4 linked regions of the Arabidopsis thaliana genome follow. The protein of the gene in region 1 interacts with the protein of each later gene in a pairwise test. Each region holds a gene or a part of one and is shown in the gene's direction. Other genes may lie near its edges.

Region 1 (5,195 bases):
GCACAAGGAGTTCTCTAGAGCTTTCTCATCACACCTACCCAAAAAAGAGCAATCAGGGTTCTACCTCCCATTGACAAGAAACCTGTAATCCGAGAACACATAATAGTGAAGCATATACATGAAAAGTTTTGCAGCAACTTTTAGATGGAACCGGGATTTATCGTCCTTGGGTTCTGCACCATCTGATTCTTCGCTCTTTGCAAACTCAATGTTTCCTAGATGAAGGATAGCAGCAACTACCCGAAAGATTGCATCCTACAAAAGTAAAATGTAAGAAGAGTTATCCTCATTGCTGATCATGTCAATGAAAAAACAAAAGGTACCTGTTCTTCAGGACTAATTCCAACAACGTCCATAGCTTTCCTCGTAGCTAGGTATTCTTTGGAATCATCAATTGCATCCAATGCATGGCAATTCGATTGATTTAGGTAGTGAAATGTGCTTGGTTTCCCTAACTGATACCGCTCAGTTTCCTGAAATTTCAGAACAGAAGCTAGTTTTCAGTATGAATCCCATATATGGCCAAGCACTGGACATACAGAGCCTTCATATGTTCGACCTGATGTAAACATACAAGGGACCATGTTTACCTGTTCTGGCGCAGCGCAAAGCATGTAAAAGCAATGATAGTTTCTTTCAGGATCAGAAACTTGACAAACTCGTGACCTCTCCAGCAAATATGTTCTAATAGCAGCTCCTGAGATTCTTCCCATATGATTGAACTGAATCTCCACAAATTTACCAAAACGACTGCAATATGAGATTTGCCTACATATGTCAAGGTTGACTTCAAGAACATACATAAACTTGAAAAATCAAGAAATGTGAATGACATTCCACCTTGAATTATTGTTTCTGACGGTTTTTGCATTACCAAAAGCTTCTAAAACTGGATTTGACTGCATAACAGGATCATAATACGAGAAGAATAAGAAGATATCTACAGAGAGAAACTCAGTGAGTCTGTCTCTAGTAAGAATGTAGATGCATTGTAAACAGACTATCTACCTCCAAAACTTGCTGTTCGACAGATCGTCCTTCACTCTCAGCTTTTCCACCCATGTATGCAAGATATTGCATGAGCATTTTTGTGCTCTCTGTCTTCCCAGCACCGCTTTCTCCACTCACCAAGATCGCCTGGCTTACTCCCTCGTTGATCATTTTTCTAAATTTATATTCTTGATGATGGTGAGGCCCAAAAAAAAATGATAGTGCAACATTAGTTAAAGTTTCATCTATGCAACAAAAGATTACCTGTATGCAGAATCAGCAACAGCAAAAGGATGTGGGCTTAACTCGCCAAAATCTGTGCCCTTATATTGCTCCATTATCTCATTTCCATATAGGTGGGGTAATCTTTTAAAGGGATTCACAGCTATCAGTATATTCCCTGTGTATGTCTGTAACCATCAAGAAGAAATTAGCTTGCTACAAACACTTCAGAGAAATATTAATGATATTGCTATAACTGTGCAGTAATTTTCAGCAAAACAATGGTAGAGATAATCATAGAATTCATAAGTGGGTGTAATGAAAGAAGGAAAACTGACAAGAGTTACATGCTGAAGCGTACATATATTTCATTTGCATTGTATCTGGCTTTTAGATTGAGAAGAACCCCTGGTTCATGCAAATACGCAAGCTTTGTCATGTCGTCCACACCAAGCTCAGGAAACTCAGGATCCTTGGGGTGGACAGCATTAACCTTTGCCACAACCTACAAACAAATGCATCACAAATATGAGCAATGTATTCTTAAGGTACCTTAAGAACTAACACATTGTCTCGTTGCTTTGGAGAAAAGGGACTAACCGTCTTGGTTTGGCAATTAACTTTGATCTCTTGACCGTTAGCTTCCACAACTTCTCCATCTAGCCAGGCTTCATCTGGATCTTCCACCCAGACCTGTGACCCCACAGTTACCTTCACTGAAGCCTGATTAAAGTAGAATATATTAGAAACAAATAAAAAAAATATTGTCAAGCTTCATTAGCTGGTTCTTTTGTTCTCTTTTAGACACATCTTATAATGAAATCTAAAATGTAAGGGGCAACATAAAAATCAGCTCAAATAGCAATTATGGTTACAGAAGATAAAAAAAAAAAGGTAAAAATGAAGAACACGGAGAAATCGCAATGCAGATAAGAGAAGAGAGACTCGTACCATTATCACGGCCAAATCTGGTCTGATTTTCCTAGAAATGATCCCGAATAAAGATTTCCAACGGGAGAAACATTAGAAAAAATCCCTGAGAACCCAATCAGCTGGTGTTTCCACACCATGGATCCAAACACCATAAATCAAACACAAAACGCTTCTCTCTCTCTACTAGCTTCAAAATCTCTGATCGACGTTATAAATGCGGAAGATTAAGACTACATTCACGTTTTACGGACGATATTTCAAATTTCTCCGACGATTACAGAGACCTTAAACCCTTCGGCTTTTGCCTTCCAATATTTCCCCAGGAAAGCTGGAGATTCTCGCAGAACGTAAGAAATTTTCTCGCGTTTTCCCTCGGAATATTCTCTCCTGGTTTTTTTTTGTTTTTGCCTTGTTTGATGCTTCGTCTCTCTCTCCCTCGTTTCTGGAAAAAGGAAGAGAAAAGAGAATCCACGTAGGCGTGTCAGGTCAGACATTTGATGATCTCGAAATTACCCCTGCAATTATACCGGATTTCAGTTCTAACATTTCTCCTGGACCAAGCCGGTTTATAGTATTCGATTCTAATGGAGGAGATGATGACAACGTGGCGCAAGTTGAGTGTGTCTATACATGGAGCAGAGCATTTTCTTCACTGTTCTCGCTTCGCCAGACGTTAATGGCGGATAGAGGAGCTCTTTCGTTACCGCGAGCTTCTACTTATCTTAGTTTCTCAAACCTCCATGTCTGGCGATTCCACAACCCTAGATCTTATCCTCCCTCTCGTTCTCAACTCCTCTGTTTCTCTTCCTCATGCTCTAGAGTAACTTCGGCGAAGATAATTCAGCTGAACCGCCGGAGATTCAGCTATAAAATATGCGCCGCCGCTGATGACGGTAGGGGATACCGTTTGACGGAAAGGGGAAAAAGGGGAAGGAAGCGGCGGGAGCTATGGGAAGAACTTTTTGAAGATAATGTTGAAGACGATGATGATGAAGATGATGGTGGTGGTGGAATTGGTAGTGCTAATTTTGACCTGTGGAAGATCTTAGAGGAAATTGTAGATAATGTTTGGATTTTAAAGGTAATTAGTTTCAATCATGCATCTTTTAAGCCTTAATTATGAAATTAGCCGGGAATCTACTACTGCTAATTGAAAATGCTGATTGATTAAAGTATCAAAATTGTTCTTTGGTAATGGTTATGGTGATCATGTAAGAAACAGTTAATATCGTTGTGTAGTGAATCTGAACTAGTTTTGATTTCTAACTAGATAGTGTCTTTCTGCTCAAAGATAAGAGAAACGGCTTTGTTGATATATAGCTGCATTTTATTTGCATACACCAGATTTTGCTCTCTTATTGTTGGTGTGGGATCTTTATTGTGTTTGGTTTATGTTCACTTTGTAGGCATTCAAATCGTATGGATATCTCCTCCCATTCATCATCTTATCGCTTTTCTTCAGCACCGGACCCAAAGCTTTCCTCGTGTCACTAGCCGTAGCAATCGGGCCATCATTGTTATTTTATGCGTTCCAGAAGTTGATTGGTTGGGATAAACGCAGAGGTACATCAATAGCAAATCAATTCGGGATAGAGGAAGAAGAAGAAGAAGTGGAGAGAAGTAGTAGCAGGATTCGATACAACCCATCAACCGTTAGAAACAATGTCAATGGCCGTGGAGTTAACCGTAGTTCAGCTGGAATGGCTTCTAAGTTTGGTGGGTGGGACGAGTTAGACGGGCTTGGTACCACCATTCCCGAACGGCCAACAAGCGAACCGAAGAAGAAACCGTTACCGAAGAGGAAGAGAGTAAGAAGAGAAAAGGCAGCAGAACCATTATTGTTGAGATTGTTGGTGTCTTTGTTTCCATTCTTAAGCACATACACAAACATGCTCAAGTGAAAAACCACTAAACCAAAACAAACCAAGTTGTTCAAATTAAACCGAACCGAAATTGGTTAAAAATAGAGAATAATTATGAGCCTCAATTTCAGTTTGAGCATCACCATTTCTTTTCCATGACTTTCCTCTTATCAAGAACATTTATTTCTCTCACTCTCAGACCTTCTTGTTCGATTTCCATGGCGAATTTAACGACGAACGCTAAAACTCGCCTGAGAGGTGTTGTATTCGATATGGACGGAACCCTGACTGTTCCGGTCATCGATTTCGCCGCAATGTATAGAGCTGTTCTTGGTGAAGATGCTTACAAGCGAATCAAAGCAGAGAGCCCTAGTGGGATTGATATTCTGCATCATATTGAGTCGTGGAGTCCTGATAAACAGCAGAAGGCGTATGAAATCATTGCTGATTATGAGAAACAAGGAATAGATAAGCTTCAAATCATGCCTGGTACGGATTCATCTGCTTTATTTTTTTATTTTTGATTTTGTGTTTGCGCTGAGGAAGTGTTAAGGATTTGGGTTTTCGTCTGATAATCTATCGTAAAATGGGTTAAAGATTGAGAATTTCGTAGAGTTAAAGATGAGAAAAGATTGCAAATTCAAGGCTGAAAGATAAAATGAACATTTGTTAAAAGTGAAGACTTTATGGTCTAACGGAGGTTTGACTTTTGTCTTAGAGCCCCACATCACGATTTGAGATCATTCCTTTACTGGTCATTGACTTTATGCTGTTGAGTTCTATAAGATGATTTAGCAGTTGAAAATCTAGAAGGAGTACTGTGTTTCTTTGGCGTTTAGAGGTTTAATTCTCTTCTGATATGTGATCATTTATGTGGCAGGTACTGCTGAACTATGTGGCTTCCTTGATTCCAAAAAGATAAAGTCTGTGGTTTTCAGATACTTCTGTCTATGATTTTTTGTTTTCTTGTTCAGATAACTTGACTGTTGTTACATTTTGTATTTTACTTTATAGGAGGGGGCTAATTACACGCAATGTTCAAAAGGCAATCGACATCTTCCATCAACGTTTTGAGGTAAGAATGTTGAATTGAAGACATTTTGACAGCTGCCTGAGATAGGTTTAGCTGGATCATTCTTTTTTTTTTATCAGAGAGAAGAAATCTGAGGCAGTTCCTTACAGTTATTT
Region 2 (7,412 bases), on another chromosome or scaffold:
GTTTGGTATTGCATCTTCTAGCTCGCATAGCTCCTAAAGGAGGACCATTCAATGAAACGCTGCAATGAGTATGCAACTTATAAGAGTACCTAAACAATGGTCCTATATGCGAACGTGCATGAAACATTCCTCTCAGGTTCAACAAAACCGGACCTGTTTCAATCTGACGCTGCAGCTCCCGGCTCTGCGTTGCCTGAAGCTGGACCTGACTGCTCACAAGATGAACATTCGCAAACATTGACGTTTTCTTAGGAACCTTGAAAGGTTCAATGTATTGAGTTGCTATGAGTGTGTTGTAATAGTAAAGCTCGAATGTCACATAGCTAAACTCCACACTACTTTTCTTGCTTGGGTTTGTGACGTTTGCTAAAATGGTTAGATCACCGTTTAGAAGAAAACCCATGTCGAGATAAGCAGCGTTTAGGTTAGCAGCTGAGATGTCGACGTAAGGTGAGCGAGGACGGTAGACGAGGTAAACGATTAGGATGATAAGACCGCCGAGAATAAGAATGACCCAGAATATTGCACAGCAAAATGCAGCTGACCATGTCATTGCGTTTGTCTCTCTTGAGGGTGGTGGTAACCGTGGGCCACGGCGGTGATGCGGGGATGGTGTTGGAGCGGTTCTCCATGGACTTGGTTTGGGTATTGGAGGTAATGTTGATCCATAACCCCCTCCGTTGCGTTGTGGTGCTTGTGGTGGTGGAGGTCGTTGTTGTTGATTATCTTCAGGGCTTAATAGCAATGGTCTTTTCGATGAGTTTTGAGTTTTTCGTGGTGGAAGTCTCTCCTCTGGGCTTAATGGTACAGGTATTACAGAATGTTTCGGTTCTTGGATTGGATTTTCACGGTGGCGACCACGAGTCTTGATTAGGATTCCTGGTGGAGCTACTGGGTGAGGTTGCGTGGTTTTGTGGTGCGATTTTTTTGGGTGCGGAATGGGCGGGATGTGTGGTTGGTTCGAAGATGTTTGTGAGGTAGAAGCACCACCGCTTTTGAGATGTGGATTCTGCGATGGAATTCGCGCAAAATGAGGGTTAGTTTCATGGTGATGATGATGAGACATTTAGATGAAGAAGCTAAAAAGCATCAAAGGAAACTAAGTTAAGTAAGACTTGAGATGAAAGAATGAGAACAGAGAGATTTTGAACTGTTTTAAGTTTCTAAATGAGATAGAGAGAGGGAGAGAATAACTTGGTGACAAGTTCAAGTAAGGATTCTTTGTTGTAGAAAACAAAATAAAGAAGGAAAGTGATAGCACGAAGCAAGTAATCTTTGTTGTAGATTCCTTGCACTAAAATTAAAATCAGTTTCTAATCTCATGAAAAAGTATAAAAACATTCTCTGTATCTTTTTCTCATTCAAAAGTTTTTTTAAGAAAATTGTAATTACTCGGTCCAATTTATCTAAAACCCAAATAAAAAGATCTCGATTTTAGGAGAGACAGGGTTAAGGACTTACAGTAACAGTCATGAATATGTCAATCTTTCTACTTCAGCTCACTCCAGGGGAAAGATGTTGATTCTCAGAGCAACTTACGAAAACTTGTCGAATATGTCAGTAAACTATGAACATGTTAAGATATGTCTCCCATAGATCAAGAAGGCCGCAGATTAGTTAGCGCAAATCTGATGCGAAACACGTTGCTTCTGCAGGTAGATACTCTGTTCTCTGCTCAATTTCTGCAGCATCAAACATGAAACCAACTCTGCAATGCCGGTTACTGCAAACGTTGACAAAGACAACTACCAATCGAGCCTGACCAAACAGATACTAGTAAAAAAGCTGGAAGCAAACTGAAAACTAAACCCATACAAAAGGTATTTTCCACGATCTTCGGTGCAATTGTTCTTCCTATATCTCTTATCCCCATTCTTTGGCATGGCATGGTATATAGTAACATGAATATACATAAAATGAAAGTGTAAACGCCTGGAAAGAGCTAACCTACGCTTTACACGCGAAGAAAGCAGAACAATCTCAGAGTAATCATGGCCGGAACAAGAAACACAATTCAAGCACAGAGACCCACAGAACACAGTCATACAGAGTGCAGGAGAAGCAACGCACTTGCCCTGAAACAACTTTCAATACATGTACTCCTAAGATCTGATGTTCTTTCTCAAGATCATTGAAAACTTACGAAAGAGAAGCCATAGAGTAAACAACTAATCAAATCCAAAATTCCAATTCCACATTGATTCAACTCATCAAAAGTTCAAAATGTAAAACTGTGTTATATCACACACAGATACTAGTACTGATCAACATAGCAGCACTCTTGCTTCACCTCAGCTCTCATAAACCTCTGCAAAGAATAACAATAAGAAATACGCAAGATCTTACTAAACTAAACAACACCATTAAAACCCTAAAAAATGTGAAGCTTTTGAGAAAAATCAGAAAACATTACCTGACTTTCTTGATGAGGATTGATTGGAGTTTTCGAGCAAAGTCAATGGATTTGATTCTGCGTTCAAGATTCTTCCTAGCGAGAACCTTCTTCTCCGAATTCTTAATGTGATGAGTCTGAGTCCCTTTGATCAGCCTCTCCATTCCACTCGATTGCATCTTCTTCTGCAAAATCGTCAGTGCCTTGTCTAAATCATTGGAGAACACCTTCACTCTTATCCCTCGCTCTTGCTGCAACTGCTGGTTTAGACTCGGACGAGTCACCAACCCCGTAACTCGCTTCGCTATCGTGTTCATCTCTTTTACTTGTTTTCTGAAAAAGTATGTTTCTGAAAACGTAAATGAGATTGACGAGAGACAGTGATAGGATCTGAATTCGACTTACCGGTCGGAATCTCGCCGGAGAGAATCAAAGAGCCAATTTGAGTGATGATGGAGAATGTCTAGGTTAAAAAAGAGGCGATGGAGGAAATGAGATAAAAACCAGAGAATTTACTAATATAGGGGTGGTTATGTAAGTTTTATGAGATATAGGGATGTTTTTGTAAATATCCTTAAATCTAATCTTCTGTTTGATTCAGAGAGTATTGACTTTAAAGAAGAACATTCAAGCCTTTCAAAAAAAAAAAGCTTCTTTAATTTCTCTCTCTCTCTGTGGAGTGTTCGAATCTCCAAGCTCTCTCTCAAATGGCAGCGTCCACATAGTAGAGCTGAAGAAGCACTGTATCTATCTACAGAGAAAGTGAAGAGGAAGAAAAGGAAGAGAGGATATAGAAATTAAGCTGGCGACTTTTAGTCCGAGGCGAGCAATGGCAGAGTTACGGCACTCGAGCTCTCTCGGTAGCCGATCTTCTTCTTCTCCGTTACGTGCCGCCGGAGATGAGGATTCTTCATCGCCTCATGTACACGATCACTCTCCTAACGGCGGAGACGACGAAGATGGTCGCCCACGTCATCCTTCTAGAGATCGAGACCGTCCGATCTGGTTTCACTCTTTGTTTCCTTTCTTCGGTGATGATCCTAGGGTTTCTCCTCAGAAGAATAAAATCTCGCTTCTATTGATTTTGATTCTCGCTATTGCTAGCTTGATCTCAGTTTATGGGATTATTAATCACTTGGTAAGTCTCTTCCTTCGATCTAGGAATTGAGATCTTCAAGGCTCTATGTTCTAACTGTGGAATCGATTTGGAAAAGTATTTAGCTTTGTTTTGAGTAAAGGGGTTTGTTTATTTAGGTGGATTTGGATTGACATTGTTCTCAGACTAAGATTGCTTCTATGTCTATCTTCTGCAGAATGCTCCTTATTTATGTAAAAAAGATGGGATTGTGCTAAACTGTCCTCATGTAAGTGTTTGAAAACTTTGGTTATGTGTTTTGTTGAATGCATAAGCTTTGAATCCTGTAAATTTAATTGTGTGTTGGTTTGCATTTGTAAGGTAAAAGAGTCACCTTCTCCTTGGGAGAATCCTTTATCTGCAACAACTTCTTGGAAGCCTTGTGCTGAGCGGCGGATTGGTGGAATCTCAGGTATTGAAGGGCTAGAGCATTGTCATTTTCATTGTCATGTGTTATTTTTTTTTTTTATTTTTTTTTTTTCGTCGAAACACATTGTCATGTGTTATTGATCTGTCTTTTCGTGAAAGTTCAAGTCTTTTTCCTTGGTTAGCTTATTAGATTGTGTCAACTGTTTTTTTCAGATCTTCCTCCTGAGAATGAAACAAATGGCTATGTATTCATTCATGCTGAAGGTGGTTTGAATCAGCAGCGAATTGCTGTATGTATCTTCCAACTTTTATCTCTTTTTCTTCTCGCCATTATCCAATCATGGATCAATGTCTAAATGGCTGTTGTTCTTCTTGCCATCGTCCAATCTTGAATTCATGCCCTTTTGTTTCCAGATCTGCAACGCAGTAGCTGTTGCCAAGATTATGAATGCAACACTGATTCTACCAGTACTGAAGCAGGACCAAATATGGAAAGACACAACGTAAAATCATATTCAGATATTGATTTCATTTCATCTTGAATTACTTCTCTATTTTCTTTTTGGTTTACTGAGCTTGTTAACTTTCTTTTGCAGAAAATTTGAAGACATTTTTGATGTAGATCATTTCATTGATTACTTGAAGGATGATGTCCGAATTGTTCGAGACATACCTGACTGGTTCACTGACAAAGCAGAGCTATTCTCTAGTATAAGGTTTGCTTGTCAACTCATTATTTGTTGATGATGTACTTGTTGGACGATTTCAAAAGTTAGCTTGTGGAATTATGGCGTCACTGGGTGCTCCTTGTGTATATCTCTGATTTAAAAATCGATCTGTATTTTTTAATCAGATATGATGTTGACCAAGTTATTTATTTATCTTCTGCAGAAGAACAGTCAAAAACATTCCCAAATATGCAGCAGCCCAATTTTATATTGACAATGTTTTACCTCGGATAAAGGAGAAGAAGATAATGGCCTTGAAGCCTTTTGTCGATCGACTTGGGTATAACCAATATTCCTATAGTTTAGTGCTCAGATTTTGGAAATCGTCTTATAAACAATGAATGATTTATTCTTGTGATGCTGGAAATTTTTTCAGGTATGACAATGTACCTCAAGAAATCAACAGATTACGATGCCGTGTAAATTATCATGCTCTCAAATTTCTTCCAGAGATAGAGCAGATGGCTGATTCACTTGTTTCTAGAATGAGAAATCGCACTGGAAATCCAAATCCATATATGTATGCCATATCAGAGATTCGACTTTGTTATAACTTAGGACCATATGCATTATATCAACTTAAAACTATACCCATGTCTCTTGTATAGGGCTCTTCATCTTAGATTCGAGAAAGGAATGGTTGGTCTATCGTTCTGTGATTTTGTGGGGACAAGGGAAGAGAAAGTTAAAATGGCAGAATACAGACAAAAGGAATGGCCTCGGCGTTTCAAGGTGACATTTATAAGCAGTTGTCAACTTCTTTTGGTGGCTAAACAACCTCAACCGCTACCTTAATGAAATTTCTTGACATATATTGCAGAATGGTTCCCATCTCTGGCAGCTCGCCTTGCAGAAGCGCAAAGAAGGTCGATGCCCTCTTGAGCCAGGAGAAGTTGCTGTGATCCTACGTGCAATGGGCTATCCAAAAGAAACACAAATCTATGTTGCATCTGGTCAAGTCTATGGCGGTCAAAACCGTATGGCTCCACTAAGAAACATGTTCCCAAATTTGGTAAGCACAACACCGGACTCTTATAATTCTTTGATGAATCAGCACAAACTTGTCTCTCACATTAACTGTCCTTTGAATCAGGTAACAAAGGAGGATTTAGCAGGCAAAGAGGAACTAACAACGTTTAGAAAACACGTTACAAGTCTTGCGGCTCTAGATTTCTTGGTGTGCTTGAAATCAGATGTATTTGTGATGACACACGGTGGAAACTTTGCAAAACTGATCATCGGAGCGCGTAGATATATGGGGCATCGCCAGAAATCAATCAAACCGGATAAAGGGTTGATGTCGAAATCATTTGGGGATCCTTACATGGGATGGGCAACTTTTGTGGAAGATGTAGTTGTAACCCATCAAACACGAACCGGTTTACCTGAAGAAACTTTCCCTAACTATGATCTTTGGGAAAATCCTCTCACTCCATGCATGTGTAAAGCTTGATGATGATGCTTTTGTTTGGTCTTGGATTTTGTCTGATGAGGAGCAACAAACTATAGAGATTCGTAGTTTTCTTCTTCTTCTTCTTCTTTTTTGACCTTTCAAATCTTTGAAGTCTTCATTTACCATCTTTGTAATCATTTTGATATTATGTAAAGTTCCTAGTGATGAAAAAAAAGTTTCTTTTTTATATTAAATTTGATCAAATTGATGCACTAAACTTTAATTAAAAGAAAATTAGCTCAACGGTTACTAATCCAATTCTTAATTTTTTGTCACGCTCTCTAATAGTACCCGCCATTAACACAACCATTGCGTGTTGTCTTCTCTCTTACTCTCAGGTTCTCAACAACAAAAGAGGAAAACAAAATCAGAAGCTATCGTAATCAGTTCTCATCTCTATGACCGGACTATCCGTAGAGAAAACCGGGTCGACCCGGTCCACTGTCTTCTTCATCATCTTTAATCTATCCATTTTTAGGTACTCCGCTTCACTGGGTTTTTGAATTTGATTTTGGTTTTTGAGTGGGTGGTGTTTGAGTGATCGATCAATCACAAAAGTTTCGTCTTTTTCAGTTTATCGATTGAAGCAAGGTCGAGGCAACAACATGCTAGCTTTCCTCCAAGAGGATGGAATTCGTACGATTCCTTTTGTTGGACTATCTCTGAAGCTGAGTTCTTGCAGAGTGCTGAAATTGTTTCTAAGCGTCTTCTTCCTCATGGTTATCAGGTAATTGTGAGTTTCTTTATCCTTTAGAATGTAAAAGTTTAGGTTTTTAATTGCTTGTGTTTGTGTGTGTTGATTTGGATACAGTATGTTGTGGTGGATTACCTTTGGTATAGAAAGAAAGTTGAAGGAGCTTATGTGGATTCTCTTGGGTTTGATGTGATTGATGAATGGGGAAGATTGCATCCTGATCCAGGTAGATGGCCATCTTCTAGAGGCGGTAAAGGTTTCACTGAAGTTGCTGAGAAAGTTCATAGAATGGGTTTGAAGTTTGGGATTCATGTTATGGGAGGAATCAGCACACAAGCTTATAACGCAAATAGTCTCGTTATGGATAGTGTTAAGGTATTGAGTTGATTGATTCTTTCTGAGTTTATGAAGTTTGTTTGGAAGTTATCAACAAGTGAATCTTTTAATGGTTGAAGGGAGGTGCTTATGAAGAATCAGGTAGACAGTGGCGAGCGAAAGATATTGGGATCAAGGAGAGGGCTTGTGTTTGGATGTCGCATGGGTTCATGAGTGTGAATACCAAGTTAGGTGCAGGAAAAGCATTCTTGAGGTCTCTTTATCGTCAATATGCAGAATGGGGCGTTGATTTCAGTAAGAGAATC
Region 3 (5,080 bases), on another chromosome or scaffold:
GATTCTGGTATCACCGGTTATTTCTTCCTTTACAGCATCTTCAAGAAACAGTTTGATCTTCTCCGACTCATCTTCATTACAGATTAATGGAATTACCATCTCCCAAGTGTCTGAATGCAATGTTTCTCCGTTCTTCATCACAACCTCTACAACATCACAAGCTTCTTCGACTTTCCCGAAGCTACAAAACCCTTTTACCAAACAATTTGAAACCGAGAAATGAGGAGAAAACCCTTTGGATATCATCTCTTCTAGATACTTCTTCCCTTCATCAAACATTCCTTGATCACACAATCCTCCAATCAAAGTCCTATACGAGACCGAATTAGGCGAGCAACCGTTAGACAACATATCATCAAGAACTTTCCTAGCATCCATCGCACGATCTTCTCTACAAAACCCGAGAATCATCGTGTTGTAATGAACAAGATCAGGATTACAACCTTTTAACTTCATCCTACATAGAAGCTTATAAGCCTCTCTAAGCTGTGTCTTCCTACACAAACTGTTCAACAATGTCGTGTAACTTAACCTATCAGGCACGAATCCTTTATTCAACATATCATCAAGTAATTCCATAGCACCATTCACTTGACCTTTCCTACAAAACCCTTGTATCAGAATCTTATAAGAATCCACATCAGGGACAACATCTCTCTCAAGCATTTTACCAAACAGTTGGTATGCAATACTCAAATCATCATTCAAACAAAAAGCTTGCATCAATAAATTGTAACTTCTCGTGTTAGGCATTACTCCATGAAGCCGTGAACTCTTGAAAAGCTCAAAAGCTTTCTGGAGATAACCTCTATGGCTTACGAGAACATCTAGAATCCGATTCAGATGTTTTGGCTGCGGCGTGAAATTGAACTCCAGCATTTTGTAAAACGTACTTAAGACTTTCTCCGGTAACTTTGCTTCTGCGTAGACTTTGATCAGATAAGTGAAAATTTCTCCGGTTAATGGATAACCACTTGATCTGTGTTTGGCGAGAACGTCGTCGATAAGATTGAAATATCTACCACGGCCGAGTTTGAGAATGAGGATTAGATGAGAAGATCGAGAATGGCGGAAATTGGGCTGTTGAGAAGCATAATCGAAAATCTCCTTGGCGAGGAGAGGATCCGATTGCGAAGCTATGAGCTTTTGAACCCGAGTCGGAGACCCGATTGGGGATTTAGGGTTCGAGACAATCGGTTTTCGAGCTTCATGTTCAGATGAAGAATAGAACAGAAAACGCGAGGATGTCGATAACGGAGAAGTTAAGTGGCGAAAAACGGCGGCGAAGTCGTAGATCGGCCGGCGAATCATTTGTCGGAGTTTTTTTTTAATAAATCGGCCGTTGGAAGTGAGACTTGTATCAGTCAGCAAATTATCAAATATCTCTCTGTACACAATAGTTTTAGTGTAGGCCCAATTTTATAATGGGCTTATAATTGAGGCCCAGGTAGCATCCACAGCATTGTCGGTGACTACAGTGTCGGTGGTGCGGTATCTCAGTTAGTGTGATTAAATAACAGATTCTTCTTAAATGTGATTATTATTTATTTTGGAAGCTTACTAATAATATATGGAATTTGGTCAGAAGTATTGTTGGAGATGTGGACATAAAAGACTTGTACTTTTATTTTCTAAACATTAGAACAAATATGACACATGTGGTATCTAATTAATTTATTATTAATTGCTTTATACAGTTGATAAAGAATTGTGAAATATGATAATTTAATTTTCTTTCTACATAACCGTATTCTGGCATGCAAACAGATATTAGGTTATTGCTAACTTTGACAGGCCGTAACCTGATAAATTTCATTCTAATTTTTTTAAAAATTAACACGGCCAAAAAGTGATAGTTATCACGTTGCACGAAACCATAGTTGTCACCAAATAAGTCAATCATTGACAACAAAGTATTTGATTATGTATAGCCATATGTATACACGTTACATTGGATTTTTCATTTTTAAAAAATTCATCACTCATCAGATCCGTCACGTGAACGGTTGCACCGAGATTTGGAGTCTTTCGAAAGTACTTCTCTATCTTATATTATTACATTAAGTATTATAACAAAATAAAATCACAATGTAAAAACAGTAGTAATTTACGGCTACTTTATAAAAAGATTAGCTTTAACACATAATTACAACTACAAGCTTTCTAAGTTAATAAACAATTAATAAAACTGTACTCTAGAAGACTGTTTACTCTTATTAACTAGAAAAGAGACAAAACCTTGCATCTACTTATCTTCTTTCTTCTCCTCCTCCTTCTTTAGAGTCTTCACTCTTCACCGAACCCTCTGATTCTCGTATAGACACACACATACCTATACATACACACTTTAACACTTATATCTGTAGAGTATAGCCATGGGAGAAGGAGAAGCAAAAGCAGAGCACGCAGCCAAAGCAGATCACAAGAACGCTCCCTCCGCTTCTTCAACGCCAGAATCTTACTCTAAAGAAGGCGGAGGAGGCGGTGGAGATGCTCGCCGCGCAATCTGCGGCGCGATCTTCACCATCCTTGTCATACTAGGTATCATAGCCTTAATCCTTTGGCTCGTCTACCGTCCACATAAACCACGTCTCACCGTCGTCGGAGCCGCCATCTACGACCTGAATTTCACAGCGCCGCCGTTAATCTCAACCTCCGTTCAGTTCAGCGTTTTAGCAAGAAACCCTAACCGGAGAGTCTCCATTCACTACGACAAGCTCTCTATGTACGTAACGTACAAAGATCAGATCATAACACCGCCGCTTCCACTACCACCGCTTCGTTTAGGACATAAATCTACGGTTGTGATAGCTCCGGTGATGGGAGGCAACGGTATACCAGTCTCGCCGGAAGTAGCTAATGGTTTAAAAAATGATGAAGCTTACGGCGTCGTTTTGATGAGAGTGGTGATTTTTGGGAGGCTACGTTGGAAAGCTGGTGCGATTAAGACTGGACGGTATGGATTTTACGCCAGATGTGATGTGTGGTTGAGATTTAATCCATCTTCTAACGGACAAGTTCCTCTTCTCGCTCCTTCAACTTGTAAAGTTGATGTCTAGTCTTAATTTTACTTCGTTATGTTTTCTTTTTTAATCTTTGTGTTTTAGAATTGTAATCTTTTTTTTTTGTGGTCATGTTAGTGATGAGTTTCGTCGAGTCTAGTGTTAAAATAAATTAAAAGGCATAAGCCAAAAATTATAAGTACAAGTATATTACTAATTTTATATTTTACTTGTGATAATTATTTTGTTTCTCTGTTGTTGGACCTGTGGATGTTAATTAATGACATTTGACAATACAAATGTGTTGTCGCTAATAGCGTATCTTGGCATATGGTGAGTTCATCGACACAACAGCTCAGAGTGTTTGATCAGACATATGGCATCTTCAGGCAAATCTCATTTTGGTTTTATCATATATATATTTTTCCCCCATTATTACGGAACTATTTCCTCACGATTATAATTAAATACTTAGAATATTACTATGCTTTTCTGTTTTCCGATTCAATGATATTGTTTTTTTGTAAATCTGAATCGGACGTTAGGAGTCTTCTGAATATAAGTTACATTTTTTGAATGAAGCATCCGTTTAAAACGAGTGACTAAAATGATCGTGACTCCACAAGTCATCGCGTCAAATGTAAAATTTTCATGTGAAACAGTGAAAGCGTCAAATCTAAATAATATTGTGGATGATTGTTGTGAATTTGATTAGTTGACCTGATTCAAAAATTTGATTGGTATATCATGTCAATTTTTTCTCTTTGGTTTTGGCAACTTATATCATGTCCAATTTCTTTTTGTGTTACCATTTTTCTCGAATTTTCACACGTTTGTTCTTTTTCTTTTTCCTCTTTTCCTTTTCCAAAACCCCATTTTGTCTTCACGAACCGATCTTTGCTTTTAAGTTTTCATATCACAGCTTTAGCTTTGTGGTTAAAAACAATTACTTTCTATCCTCGTTAAATATTAAAGATTTCTTTCGATAGTTAATATGTTTATATAATAATTAACCTTCTATATTTCTTATAACAAATTACCTATGTGATTTTCGGATAAAAATATTTTTAAACAAAAACCTCTAGCAAACACCTCATCTGATTTTACCGGAGAAAGGTTGGGAAAATCCTCGGAATGTCCCTGTACAATAAAAGTTAATTTTAGAATAATTATCTCGATTTATAAAACAAGAAAAATAAAATAAAAGAAGATAATAGTAATATATGCATAAACACACATATATAAAAGCTGTTTTTGAAAGATGTATATATATTACTTTTTTTGTAAAACGAAAGATGTATCTAAAACATGCAATTTATCAGCGAATATTAAGAAAATGGTTAGGAAAAACAAACAAACGAATTACTTCAAGAAAGGGATAGTCATGTTCTTTAGTGTCAAAGGATAGGTGGCAACAAAATTCTCCCATTCTTCCAAATCTATTATCCCATCTTTTTTCCAATCGGCCTCTTCAAATGTCTTTGCCAAATATAAGTAAACAAAAATAGTAAGTAAAATCACTATAATGTTAAATCAAGCTCATAAACTTAAGCGTTATACACACCTTAGACACGATAGAATCAATGATACTCTCGGATAGCATAAGTTCTGATTCCTCTAGAACGTCTATTATCATCTCTTTCACCTATAGATTTCTCCAAGTCGAGGAAAACCGTCAAATATAATTAATCATGACTTTTTCTTTTTTTTGAGACAAAGTTTACATACGTACCTCCTCCGGTTCAATGAATCCAGTCTCACGAGTATCGTATAATCTAAATGCAACTGTTTAATTTTAAACAAGTGATCAGATGTATTTGTGGTTATAGTTAATAACATTGATCTCTAGCTATATAGAAAATAATAATAACATGGAATAAATGAATAAACACATTAGAAGTGATGAAGCATACATATGGCCTTATCTCTTGGTGATGAGTTTGGGTGAAAAATGTTGAGTGTGTGTACAAACTCTCCAAAATCTATAGCCCCATCGTTTCTCATATCGAATAATCCAAAAATCTGCATATTTCAGAGAAACAACATCAATCGAAGTTTATTTATTTATTTCGCTTAAT
Region 4 (4,525 bases), 3.5 Mb from region 1:
TTTCTTTTATGCTAGTATCAACGGTGTCAAATCGAGAGTTTAAGGGAGAGATCAAGTTGGACACCACATCCACGAGCGACTGCTGGTCTCCCTGACCATCCTGCTCACGAGAACGAACATCCTCGTCCTCATCAGATTCGACAGCTACTTCCTTCTTCTTCTTCTTCTCCTTCTTCTTCTTTTCTGCATCTTTCTCAAGAGAATCAACATGCTCACCGTGAGAGACCTTCTGTTTCTTAGCGGGAGATTCAGACACCTCCGCTTCTTTATCTTTTAAGAGTTTCTTCTTCTTCTCACTCGTCTTCACATCCCAATAACCTTTAACAAGCTTAACCTCGTGTAAGTCTTGGATCAAGTTATCAAGTGCTGGGTCTTCTAATTGGTCTGGCCAAAAATGAAACAGCTCGCTTAACTCAGCCTTTTCAACCATTGTACGAACACGCAGCTACAACAGGAGAGATAATAAAACCCATCAGTATGTTTAACTCAGCCATCACTTAATATAACTCAGTCGTCACTTAATATAACTCAGCCATTATAGAACATAATTCAGTCGTCACATAACATATTTGCCAAAAAAAAAGAATATAACTCAGCCTTCACAGAGAAAAATAAAACATTAACTCAGCCGTAACATAAATATTTGATAAAAAACAGAACATAACAGAGCCGAAACCGTACCTCACCACCATTCGCTTTGATATCTTCAGCAATGACCGATTCTATAGTTGAACGGGTACGGCTGCCACCCCATCTAAGCAACGGAATCTCATCCGCGTTAACAGCGTTCCCAAAACGCTCAGCGATGGTGATGATTGACTCATACGCCCAAGCCTGCAACACGAAAACCAGACCACTGACAGTGTACGTCTTGCCAATAGGCCTCAGCAACTTTATAGAAACGACAAGGGCTTCATATGCTGCCCGACCCCATGGATAAGTCTTCATGGCTTCGTCGTCGAAAACTCTTTTGGCACTCTCAAATGGTATCCTAGAGTTAGTATGCAAGCCAAAAAGTCCAATGGATAGAAGAGTCAATAACCCAAACCATCTACGTTTTTCAGTAGGCCAAGCTCTGCACGTTACTAAGCCCTGCCTAAGTTCATCTAGATTAGGACCTTCACCGGTTGGCACACGCAATTCACTGAAGAACGCTTTGTAGTCAGCTTCAGGCTCAAACTTTTCTGTAGGCAGATCATCTATATTTAAACCAGTGATATGATGAAATTCGTTCAATCCAAACCGGATGGGTTTACCAGCCACGATACACCAAAGCTCCTTCTTCAGTATTCTCAGCTGTCTGCATAGTAGATAATGTACGGTCTTACCAGACCAGAGAAAATGACTATCAACAAGCTTAGCAATTAATCCAAGCTCTGTCTCTTTCAGTTCTGCCCATATTTCTTCTCCTATTGATTCTCTAATTGCAGGGAACTCTCCCAGCTTTATATTATGATTAATGCCTTTACCCTCCAGATTAGAATCCCCCTCTTGGTAAAGTCTTGGAGGGTACTCCCTTGCTTGGTCTTCAGACATCTGTATAACCATAAATCAGCCGTAAGCATTCCATAACTCAGTCATAACATAAAACAAACTCATCCACAGATACCATAACTCAGGCAAAACATAAATCTAACTCAGCCATAGATAACATAACTCAGTCATAACATAAACCTATCTCAGCCATAGATAACATAACTCAGTCATAACATAAACCTATCTCAGCCACACATAACATAACTCAGCCATAAGATAAATCTAACTCAGCCATATTTTAACAGAAACTCAGTCAAACCATAACATAACAACAGCTCAGTTAAAACATAAACCAGACTCAGCTATATCAAAACAGAAACTCAGCCATAACATAAACAAACTCAGCCGTCATATAACAGAAACTCAGACATCGATGTAAGGTTAAACCATAACTCAGTCACAGCATAAAAAAAACTCAGACACGGATGAATTGATAAATCATAAATCAGTCGGCAAACAAACAGTAACTCAGCCGTCAAATCAAATAGATCTAAGAAATCGGCCACCATATGTCAATCAACGTCGACGTTAAAACCCAGCTTTAAAAACCATCGTTACGCATCGGAAAACGATTTCAGTGACGGGAATCACTTGAGATTGAACTTAGATGTCAGAGTCTTACTTCATTGAAAGATACTCACCGGAACTTAGATGTCGAATGTGACTTCGCGCTTACGTAAATGCGACTCCGGCGTCTGAATTTCGGCCGGAACAGACGAGAAAAGAGCAAAACGGCGAAAGAAATCGATTTCGTTCCGTCGAGAGAGAAAGTGGAAGAAAGCGACAGTTTTTTTTTTTTTTGGGAGATGATGAACAGTAAAGCTAAGAAATAAGAAACCCAAACGTTATGGAGTTTGGAGATAATTAATGACGTGGATTATGGTAATGACATGGAATAATGACATGTATAATCACTGTTTTTTCATTTAATTTTTAGTTAAAAACGAATTAAATAATAATAATTAATTAAAACTAATTAGGGGTGTTAATTGTAATTACACAATAACTGAAAACATCTGAGTAATAAAAAAAAGATGTGTTCTACTGTAGGAATAAACATACAAATGTGTTCTATCTTAGGAATTAGTTCAAATTAAATTGTCTTTTCCCAAAGCCGTCCTTTAAACCCGACGAAGTTGTTTAAGCAGCTTAAATTAAGCTCCTTGAAAGATTAAGCATTTCTGGAATTTTTATCGACTTTAATTAGAGAAAAATAAAATATTTTTTGATATTCCTTGTAAAAATCTGAAGAATAAAGTTTACTCCACTTATTACCGACACAAAAAAAGTTGTTCCACTTATTAAAAAAAAGTTATTCAGTTATAATTTTTTTAAAAAAATCCTCTGTTATATATCTCTCACTATCTTTTATTTGGTTCTTTCCAGAAACAATTGATCAGAGCTTTAAAGAAAAAGATGGAATTCACCGCAGAGCAGCTAAGCCAATACAACGGCACCGACGAATCAAAGCCGATCTACGTCGCAATCAAAGGCCGTGTGTTCGATGTCACCACCGGAAAATCCTTCTACGGCTCCGGAGGCGATTACTCGATGTTCGCCGGAAAAGACGCGAGCAGAGCTTTGGGTAAGATGAGTAAGAACGAAGAAGATGTGTCTCCTTCTCTTGAAGGTCTCACTGAGAAAGAGATCAATACTCTTAATGATTGGGAGACCAAATTTGAAGCTAAGTATCCTGTCGTTGGCCGTGTTGTCTCTTAGGTCTCTCTTCTGAGATTGCACTATGTTATGTAACTATTGTGTGTGAGGATCTTTGTGTTGTGTGTTTTCTGATTTCGTGTTTGGATCTGATCGTTTTGATACAATTACCATAAGTACCAAATTATCTATGAAATAAATCGGGGATTTCGTGTTCTCAGTGGTCTTCATATTCTGATCTTAAGGTTACTTTGTTGTGCTTACCAAAAAAAAAAGGTTACTTTGTTGTGATGATTAGGATTTTAGGAGTTTTAAGTCTCATATGTATTTGATGAGAGGATATAAAGATTGGTTTGTGTCTTTCATATCTTGCAAATACTTGGAGCTAATTGTGTCTGGTGAAAGAAAAACTGATGGTTTCTGAAATCTGAGCAACACCAAACTTACTGGTAGTTTTGGATTCGGTGTAAATTATCTTACAAGTTCCAAGTTGTTGTTAATTTTAGTCTTTTGCGTTATGAGATTTGGAAGAATATAGTTATGATGAACATTCAGAATTCATAGAAGCTAATGTGTGTCTTCTTTGATTCTTTCTTACTTCTCCCGGTCTAAATTATTATCATCACTTGTATGACTTCGGCCCTGTTCGGCATGGCGTTCTTGCGACTAATATGTTGCTTTAACGCCAAGTCTTAGGTTTGAGGGAGAGCTGTTCATGGGTAGAGTTGTTCTTGGCTCGAGTTGACTTGTGTCGTGTGTAGTGGCTGTGGCCTATAGCTATGCTTGTTTATCAAGAGAGAGGCATCCTAACTTAGATATTATTTTGACATTTTAAATAAAAAAATGCACAAACCACCACCTCCAAGAACTAGCTACCTTGCTGGATTTGAACCAAACCTAGAACATAAATGAGGAGACGTGGAGGGGTAGGAGATTCGGCACCATGTTGATCCTCAGGTAGGTATTTATCCTTTCCCACAATTTGTAAAACGTTGTTGGAGAACCCGGGGTGATTACAAGACACTACAACTTTGTTCTCTATGTCGACTAAGAAACTCAACCCAAAACATAACCCTAAATGATAGCGGTCATCAAATTTCGACACTGTCAGGAACTTGCTCTATGAAATGGCTTCGTACTCTCCATCTTATTCGCTATCCATACCTCAGAGCTCTGAGCAGCAAATATACAAAGTTGTTGCGCTTCTCTAGTCATTGACAAAGTCGCAAAACAATAAGAACGAGGCGATCTTAAATATTAACCAAAGAGAGTTCGCCCTAGGTCTTCTCTCCCGGGCACGATCTCCGAGGAAGCCGCCCCTCCATGCTCCAAG

What was found.
Region 2: the proteins of AT2G33250 (region 1) and AT3G26370 interact in a protein complementation assay, tested with the Arabidopsis thaliana proteins (one large-scale study listed by BioGRID).
Region 3: the proteins of AT2G33250 (region 1) and AT4G01410 interact in a protein complementation assay, tested with the Arabidopsis thaliana proteins (one large-scale study listed by BioGRID).
Region 4: the proteins of AT2G33250 (region 1) and MAPR2 interact in a protein complementation assay, tested with the Arabidopsis thaliana proteins (one large-scale study listed by BioGRID).

Annotation. Positions count from the first base shown.
Region 1 is NC_003071.7:14,094,633-14,099,827, forward strand, and holds AT2G33250 (uncharacterized protein), read left to right. Parts: upstream 1-2,736; 5' UTR 2,737-2,821; coding exon 2,822-3,226; intron 3,227-3,551; coding exon 3,552-4,046; 3' UTR 4,047-4,119; downstream 4,120-5,195. Other genes in the region: XID (myosin XI D), read right to left, coding at 1-34, 119-255, 324-473, 591-750, 841-899, 1,009-1,165, 1,255-1,400, 1,574-1,717 and 2 more; AT2G33255 (Haloacid dehalogenase-like hydrolase (HAD) superfamily protein), read left to right, coding at 4,163-4,496, 4,888-4,930, 5,022-5,082.
Region 2 is NC_003074.8:9,653,665-9,661,076, forward strand, and holds AT3G26370 (O-fucosyltransferase family protein), read left to right. Parts: upstream 1-3,015; 5' UTR 3,016-3,221; coding exon 3,222-3,530; intron 3,531-3,705; coding exon 3,706-3,756; intron 3,757-3,848; coding exon 3,849-3,939; intron 3,940-4,109; coding exon 4,110-4,186; intron 4,187-4,310; coding exon 4,311-4,399; intron 4,400-4,492; coding exon 4,493-4,612; intron 4,613-4,787; coding exon 4,788-4,904; intron 4,905-5,000; coding exon 5,001-5,144; intron 5,145-5,232; coding exon 5,233-5,356; coding exon of another isoform or gene 5,357-5,419; exon of another isoform or gene 5,420-5,444; coding exon 5,445-5,636; intron 5,637-5,717; coding exon 5,718-6,077; 3' UTR 6,078-6,281; downstream 6,282-7,412. Other genes in the region: AT3G26350 (proline-rich receptor-like kinase), read right to left, coding at 1-1,066; AT3G26360 (Ribosomal protein S21 family protein), read right to left, coding at 2,299-2,308, 2,414-2,709; AT3G26380 (Melibiase family protein), read left to right, coding at 6,476-6,555, 6,651-6,804, 6,889-7,146, 7,227-7,401. UniProt on the Arabidopsis thaliana protein: Glycosyltransferase involved in the biosynthesis of pectic type-II arabinogalactans.
Region 3 is NC_003075.7:575,933-581,012, forward strand, and holds AT4G01410 (Late embryogenesis abundant (LEA) hydroxyproline-rich glycoprotein family), read left to right. Parts: upstream 1-2,095; 5' UTR 2,096-2,375; coding exon 2,376-3,059; 3' UTR 3,060-3,355; downstream 3,356-5,080. Other genes in the region: AT4G01400 (oligomeric golgi complex subunit-like protein), read right to left, coding at 1-1,311; CBL5 (calcineurin B-like protein 5), read right to left, coding at 4,106-4,142, 4,369-4,481, 4,567-4,647, 4,735-4,787, 4,916-5,024.
Region 4 is NC_003071.7:10,606,495-10,611,019, forward strand, and holds MAPR2 (membrane-associated progesterone binding protein 2), read left to right. Parts: upstream 1-2,922; 5' UTR 2,923-2,952; coding exon 2,953-3,255; 3' UTR 3,256-3,406; downstream 3,407-4,525.